Linked DNA regions of Daphnia pulex. The main gene of each other region encodes a partner of the protein of the gene in region 2 in a complex. Links are inferred from orthologs where the notes say so. Each region holds a gene or a part of one and is shown on either strand. Other genes may lie near its edges.

Region 1 (3,757 bases), on a different chromosome or scaffold from region 2:
GTGGAGAGATTAAAAATGGATACCGAAATTTGTACACCCCGACACGTCTTCCTAAAGGGCCACGATTGGACAAGTCAATTAAAAGATATCATCCTTAAGATTTAGGGGGAAAAAACCGTTGAATATCGTCACAAACAAATTTGAATATTTACCTGAGATTCACTCAGTTTTGGTGTAGAATAGCGTAGTCAGGTGAAACCTAACACAAATATGTAAGACTTTGAAACAAGAAAACAGCTAAAACTATTACTTAATACAAAAATAGGAAGCAAGAAACAATTCGTTCAATAAGAAATTTATTATTTTGTTTCAATTAGTCGCGAAAACAGGTGTGTGTAAGAGATATTAGATCCAACTTATACGATAGCAGCCAGCGATGGGAACGCATTCTGCTTGCTGATTACCAGCTTGTTGTGGCTGTTGGAAATGTACCCTTTGATTTTGTTCTCAAAGATGAGGTTTGCAATGATACCTGCGTTATAAAAAGAAATGGATCAAATTCTATAAAAGCCACATTAATTTATGTAACACTATACATTGCGTCTCGTCCAAGTCTATGTCTTCAACTCCCATGAATTTTAAGGCCTCAAGATAGGCTTCGATCGGGATTTGATGAGTTTTCATGAGCAAAGTTCTGAAAATTATAAATTCAAAAGAAATCATGTCGGCTCATCTTTCAACACCAACAATAAAATCCCTTACACTTTCTTAAACAAGTTTCTGTAGGTGGTGACTTTTAACTTTTCAAGAATCAAATAAACACCGCAGCGAATGAAAAAGGCATCGTGTTGAAGAAGGGCATTGTTGAGTCTCCGGAGATTACCCTCCCTAACAGCTTGCACCACTTCGCTAAACTGTAGAAGGTCATACTTTCTCAGCAATTGGGTTGTAGGAAGATGACCCTTTAAATGAAATGTAATACGTTAAGCATCTTCCTTCCGTTTTCCATCGCATTATGTGTACACAACAAATGAAAGTCATACCAAAAGCATTTTGACGGGAATCAGGTAGATTAAAATCAGTCGTTTGTTGGCGCGGCAGTTCTTGTGACACCGCTCAAACGCGTAGGATAAATATTTCTCAGCTAAATGCGAAATTAAATATAAGAATTGATTATCTTTTAGAAATTTATGTTACTCTGCTCACCGCTTTTGAAATCACTTTCGAAAATGGCCTTTCTGCCGACATAGTATCGGTAAGTCACTTGTTGGCTGAGGGAGAACTGGTCCTTGAACTGGGAGGCATCAATTGCGCGAATAAGAGCCTTACAAAGATGCAATTTGTTTATTCTAAAGTAGATTTTCAACAGCTGGTTGACCAAATACAGCATTCCCCAGCGTTTTGTATCTTCATCAGATGACCGACTGTAAATTCAAACAAAAGAATGAGTACCTAGTTACTACATAAGTCGCAAAATGTTATTTCTTACTTGTCAGCAGCACACACTCTAAAAAGTCCCATGAGGCACTCTGCAGCCTTTTCAAGTGTTTGTCCTGGTTTGTCTGCTCCTTTTTTGGCCAATTCTTTGTCTGCTTTGATTGCAAACATACGCAAATCTAAACTTATGACATACATGATGAATAAAGCCCAGTTGTCTTCCTTCTGTGTCTGAAAGAGCTTTGTAAACGCCTGTACCAAAGCACTTTGCTCAGAGTATGCTTCTAAATACTTTTGCTGGTTGATATAGCTTAAGCATCTAGATGGTAAAATTGAAAGTTGAAACCAAAATTTAAAATTGATGAAAGTTCAACTGTATACCTGAGATGAAGGACAACAATCTCATCAAAAGGAGCTTCCACGATTCTTTCAACAGACTTTTCAAATCCCTCCAAAATAAGTTTGGAGCTCATAACATGTGGGTGATTGAATGACAGGAGTTCCTAAAGGTTTCAAAATAAGAAGACGTGAAGTATTGCATGAGCATGATTTTACAAGAAATTTAATTTTGAATTTCTTACTGAAACTTCAGTTCCACTTCGAGATTGCCATGAAGATTGAATCTAAAATAGTTTAAATAAAAACAATCAACTAAAGATGTGTAAACAATGCATTCTGTTTGTGACGCGCTGTGTTACCTCACGTAAATATTGATTCAAATTCAAGTTAGCCATTTTTTTAGTGTCTTAGAAATGATTTTTCGAGACTAACTTAAAACTGGACATCGGTGGCTTACAGAAATCTAATTTTGGCGAAACACAATTGGATATTATTTGACAGAAAATTTCAATAATCACGCCGACCGGTCGCTTTCGAATTGTTCCTCAGCTCTTCGTCTGCTAGAAACTCTTACGTCATCTAGCGGTAACAAGTTGAATTACATATTTACAATTTCAAATTTTACGCCGCGCTTGTTATCAAAGTTTTTCGATCTCGAAAGGGAGGAAAAACCACAAAGTAAAATAAGAATTATATTATTTTACGACTGAACATGCCGCAACATAAACATAAATAGAATGAGTTGAGAAAGAACTGGTTCCATATCATGCATATCCAACAACTGAGATAATGCATGTGATTTAATCCAACAAAACAATTGACGCAGGACTGTACTGTATAAATGTATAAAACATTGAGTCGGGATTCCAATAACATATAAATTGCACAGAGGAGTTCCAAGTAAAAAAAAAAAAAACAAGGATCAACTACCTCCTGGACAGACTAATTAAAAAGCGTGGCGCCAGTCTAAGATGATTTCATACCTCACTAAGAAGTATGAAGAGAGAGAGTGAACAAACATGTCAAAATGGCTTAAAACTCTTGAGTACATAGATTAGCCGCTCAGCGGGCAGTCCACACACACTGCAGTGTGTGTGTATATAGGCGGGTTTACGCTAAACCCTGTAAAAAAAGATACAGCAGCATCAGCAGCGAATGGTCAATAATAATCAGCTCTACTTTAAGAGTGGACCGAACCACTCGTGTTTCCATTCTCTCCCCCCTCTTTTTCTACTTCCGATCTATTCTTATTTCGGCCTCCCCTGACTACTAGTTTTTCTTTTGTATCATTCGCTTTTAGTCGACAACGAGCCCCAGTGGCCCTATTTTGACAGTCAATTAAATATAGTGCATCACGTGTGCAAATAGTAGGAGGGAAACTTCGTTTCCATACGTTCGCACACGGATTTTCAAAGGTCCAATTTAAATATTTCCCTTCTAGATTTTCGGCTGGATAATTTCCGTATTGCTCCAACATGACTATTCCCGAAAGTGATTCAATTCGACAACGCTCATCTCAAGGTAAATACATTTTCTTTAACACATTTTTCAATGACATGTACATTTTTCTTTGTGACATTCAGACGATACGAATAAAAATCGTACAGAATCTTTATCAAAAGACGATCATGGACATAGTAGTTCGACCAACAGTATTAATGACAGTAGCTTAACCGATGCCGTGTCAAACATTAAAGATGAACTGCAAATGAATCGACGGGTAAGTTTCCTTTGTTCTGTTTTAACAAGTATAATAAAGTTATCTCAGTGGCAAATAATCATAGTACAGCATGCACCCGAGTGGTGACAGACGCATGTAAACAGATAAAAGAAACAACGTTTCGTCTCATTGGTTACATCCAAAAAGACCCTAAAAGATGCTATTTATTATCTAAATATTTATCAAGGCGAGGATAGGCCAAAGATAACGCAACGTTTCTTTCCGTTGTCATAAAATTTCTCCCAACTAATAATTGCCCTGCTGTTTTAAAAAACGACTCTCAAGAGTCTTCAGAGTTTTCAAAATACCCAAATTGGATCT
Region 2 (3,757 bases):
GAGTCTAGCAAGTCCGTCGAAGTAAAATCTGAATCTTGAAGGTAACTCTTCAGAACAGCATCGGCGGCATAGGTAGCAAGAGGAGCGTCTTGCGCCTTAACAGCCCAAGCGACTGCCGCACCAAGTCGTCCATTGGCCAAGGCCCGTCGACCCATTACACGACAGACGGAAGTTACCACTGATGTTAGTTTTCTTCGCTCGGCAAGTGAAATTATTTTGGTTGCCTTCATTTCCGACTGGCACGGAAGTCGAGTGAGCAAGTGTTCCAGAGTCGCAGAACCAACATTAGGGCAATGGTCAAGATAGAGAACACCAACCGACCACAAGGATTGGTGGCTAAATAAGCAAATCGAGTAGTCACGAAGCAAAGTTTCTCTCAGCTGTAGTGAGTTAATGTCTTCGAACGACTGAAGTGCTCCGGCGTGATACAATAAATCAGCGAGATGTGCCGTAAACCAAGAATTATCCAATACTCCTTGCATTTCTCCAATCACCTGTGACAACAAATTTGAACAGATATAAAACGTTTCCAGTTAATTATGTTGGTAGTGTCTTGATACTTGCATGAACTCTTATCAAACTTGCTTAAAACTCTTATCCATTGATAACAGCGATACTCACTTTACGCGTGTCGCGACGAAGAACGGCCAAAAGTGTTGCATCTAGTGACGTCAAATCATCTAATCCGATTAAGGAAGCAAAAAACTGTTCGGCTTCATCTCCCAAAGATAACGTTCCAATTGTGGGTTGCGTGAACGTTAACTGAGTAATCATTCGTTGATACCAAGTTTCGAAATGATCGCCAACTTTTTCAAATGCTTCTTCTTTGCCACATAGTATCTTTATCGTAAGTAAATAGAAAGTTTATGTAAGTTAGACAAAAGACATACAACATAAACTAATGAAAATAAAAATGGGAATTAAGAGATCATTATATATAAAACATTATATACCTCCATTAGAAGTTCTAAATCTTTTGATTCGAAGAAATCTCCAGCTTGAGTGCGAGCCTCACATTCTTCTTTCCAATGATTCCATCTGAAGGTAAACTCTGGAGCAGAAACAGTTGAGTTGGCCTAAATAGAACAGAAATACTTAGGAGATAGAAAAATTGTTAATCTATCTAAATTACAAGAACTTTCTTACACTAAAGACTGGCATTTTCTTCAGCAACTCATATGCACTCTGAAAAGCTTCACTCTGGAAATCAGGATGAATTCTTAACAGTTTGGTAGCACTTTCTAAGCGTAACTGAAACACTAGTCCATAGAGAGCTTTCCAATAGCTTTCATGGAGTCCAGGATTTGGTGATGCTAAAACTGTACCAGTTTCTTCTACTGCATTTGGAAAATGAATACGAATCCATTCTAATAGGTGTGGCAGAATTCCAAGTGGGTTCTCAAGATACAGAATTTCACACAAATTCCACACCAACTCAGCTTTGTAAAATATTTCACTCATTTCTTGAAGTGCTTGATTAGATTCAACACTGTTAGCAAGATCTGCTGCTTGGTTCAAATCTTCAATGCATGCATTCATTATACAACGATACTGATGACTGGATTTAATTAACTCAGATGAGCTGATTTGGCCATCTGTGCCAGCCTTAATTTGTAAAGAAGTAAATGCTCCACAGGATTCATTGACCAGCTTGCGAACAAAAGGATTGTACAAGGTTCGCTCCCAAGAAATTGTATAAAGCTTCTTCTTACAAGTCTGGGGACTAACTGGACCTGTCATTGAGAAAAACTTAGTAGGAGTTTTTTGGCTAACTTCCAGAAAGAACTTACCAGAGGTGATCGACTTGGAAAATTCTGTTGGAAATACAGCCAAGCTGTTACCATAACCCCAAGAATGCCCAACATCTTTGTTGTATGCAAATAGAGGATCTTGTATTCCCTAAAACAAAGAAAGTTTGGTTACAAATATGTATACCATGAACAATTCGAAATTATTATTACAATAGGTTCAAGCATTCTGTAAAATGCGTGAAAATCACGTCACAAATCGTAATTGTGTGTAGGATTCAGAAGGATTTCAACTAACAGTCAGAACTCGTAACGAGTACTTTTTTGAAATATTTCTAATCTGTCGTCTGCTGCTTCGGTTTTACACCATACTGCAATGGCCATGGTTACGGCGGTAACTATGACCTGTGCTGCCGAATGTCGATAGCGGAAATTTCAATTTTCGTGGCTGCTTGTTTGTTGACAAAATATCATAGTCTACTTGATCTTATTAGGTGATGTTATATTGCTGTTTCATTAATACTTTCAAGTTGTTTATCGCTTTTCACCTGAAGAATTTATTTGATCCATATTAAAATATCCGTTTCAACAAAGTTTTTGCTATGAACATTGCCGTTTGTTCAGTAAGACAGTTTTGTTCGTCTTCAACATGCTTTAAAAAAGTGCCCGATCGGCTAAAGGGCCGCAGTAAAAGTTCTCAAGAATGGCTAACTCGGCAAATGAATGACGAGTATGTTCTTAAAGCCAAAATGGAAAATTATAGGTAGTAATTTTCAAATAAAAATTATGATTTCAATATTTTCAATTAACAGGCTATAGCTTCAGTTTAATTGTTGTCTAATATTTACTACTTCTTATTAACCAAGAAAGAGCTAGAAGTGCCTTTAAATTGATTGAAATTGATGACAAACACAAATTCCTTAAACCTGGAGATGTGGTTGTAGAATGTGGCGCTGCACCTGGTGCTTGGACACAAGTATGTGTAAAACGAATTAATGCAACAGGAAAAGGTAGATTGAATTGTTTAACTATTTAGCCTAATTAAAATGACACTAGAATGTTTATGGATTTCATGCAGTGTCTTCTCAGCTTAAAGGAAAGCATGTAGCAGTTGATCTTCAACCAATGTAAAAGGGCTGCAAAGTTTTGGTACCCTTAGTTCACTAACATTATTCAATTTTATTCTTTCAGGTACCCAATTGAAGGAGCTGTAATCTTGGCTCCATTAGATTTCACAAAAAGTTTGTCCCAGACCAGAATAACAGAAATACTTGGTGGGCAACTTGCTAATGCAGTCCTAAGTGATATGGTAGGGCTGATTTTATTTCAGTTTTTTTTTACCTTAAATTATTTCAATTAATATTTGCTAATTAAATTTAGGCTCCTGCAGCATCGGGTATACGAGATTTGGATCAAGATAGGATATTAGAATTAGCATATTCAGTGCTGCGTTACGCGCAACAAATCTCTATGGACGGAGCTACGCTATTGATAAAATTATGGGCAGGAGGAAGAATCAAACAACTGGAGAATGAGATTGCATTACACTATTCTCAAGTCAAAGTTGTGAAACCACCTAGTAGTAGACAGGATTCAGCTGAAATGTTTATACTAGCTAGTAATTTCAAGAAAAATACATAGTAATTATTTAACTACTTACTTTGCTTTATTCACATTGAAGTCTACTGAAATTTTGCTTCATCCATGTATTCAATTCACCTTAGTTACATCACTGACTCTAAGCACACTTTTAACAGTTTGATTGGCCGGTGACAATTTTTAAATTTAGTGTGGCAAATTGCAAATCTCACACGAAGATAAATTAGGCATATTGATGAAAGTGCAGTGAAGACAGGTCCAGGATTTGCCAGCGGCATCTCCGGTAGCACCTTCTTCCATCGGTTGCCCTGGTGTCGACATTTGATCAGCGTGAGCCAGGAGCTGACGGACAGTGCTCCATTGTTCACCAGATGCCCATTGATTTGCAGCCTCCGCATTTTTCGAACGAA

The links. The genes of interacting proteins can lie anywhere in the genome.
Region 1: nuclear pore complex protein Nup85-like (region 2) and PCI domain-containing protein 2-like share a complex: the UniProt entries of both Drosophila melanogaster proteins name them as parts of the nuclear pore complex. The link is inferred for Daphnia pulex from reciprocal best matches to the Drosophila melanogaster genes Nup75 and PCID2.

The regions. Positions count from the first base shown.
Region 1 is NC_060025.1:7,985,580-7,989,336, reverse strand, and holds PCI domain-containing protein 2-like, read right to left. Parts: upstream 2,286-3,757; 5' UTR 2,112-2,285; coding exon 2,076-2,111; intron 2,001-2,075; coding exon 1,959-2,000; intron 1,881-1,958; coding exon 1,759-1,880; intron 1,697-1,758; coding exon 1,430-1,696; intron 1,365-1,429; coding exon 1,147-1,364; intron 1,085-1,146; coding exon 984-1,084; intron 903-983; coding exon 703-902; intron 635-702; coding exon 537-634; intron 473-536; coding exon 357-472; 3' UTR 280-356; downstream 1-279. Other genes in the region: threonine synthase-like 2, read left to right, coding at 1-105; b(0,+)-type amino acid transporter 1-like, read left to right, coding at 3,192-3,237, 3,300-3,436. UniProt on the Drosophila melanogaster protein: Required for the export of nuclear mRNAs and involved in mRNA trafficking in the cytoplasm.
Region 2 is NC_060023.1:4,665,541-4,669,297, reverse strand, and holds the start of nuclear pore complex protein Nup85-like, read right to left. Parts: upstream 2,119-3,757; 5' UTR 1,977-2,118; coding exon 1,962-1,976; intron 1,900-1,961; coding exon 1,791-1,899; intron 1,734-1,790; coding exon 1,147-1,733; intron 1,077-1,146; coding exon 954-1,076; intron 841-953; coding exon 622-840; intron 495-621; coding exon 1-494. Other genes in the region: rRNA methyltransferase 2, mitochondrial-like, read left to right, coding at 2,351-2,511, 2,619-2,758, 2,827-2,875, 2,940-3,057, 3,129-3,389; nuclear protein localization protein 4 homolog, read right to left, coding at 3,534-3,757. UniProt on the Drosophila melanogaster protein: Component of the nuclear pore complex (NPC) that seems to be required for NPC assembly and maintenance. Required for nuclear import of phosphorylated Mad via importin msk.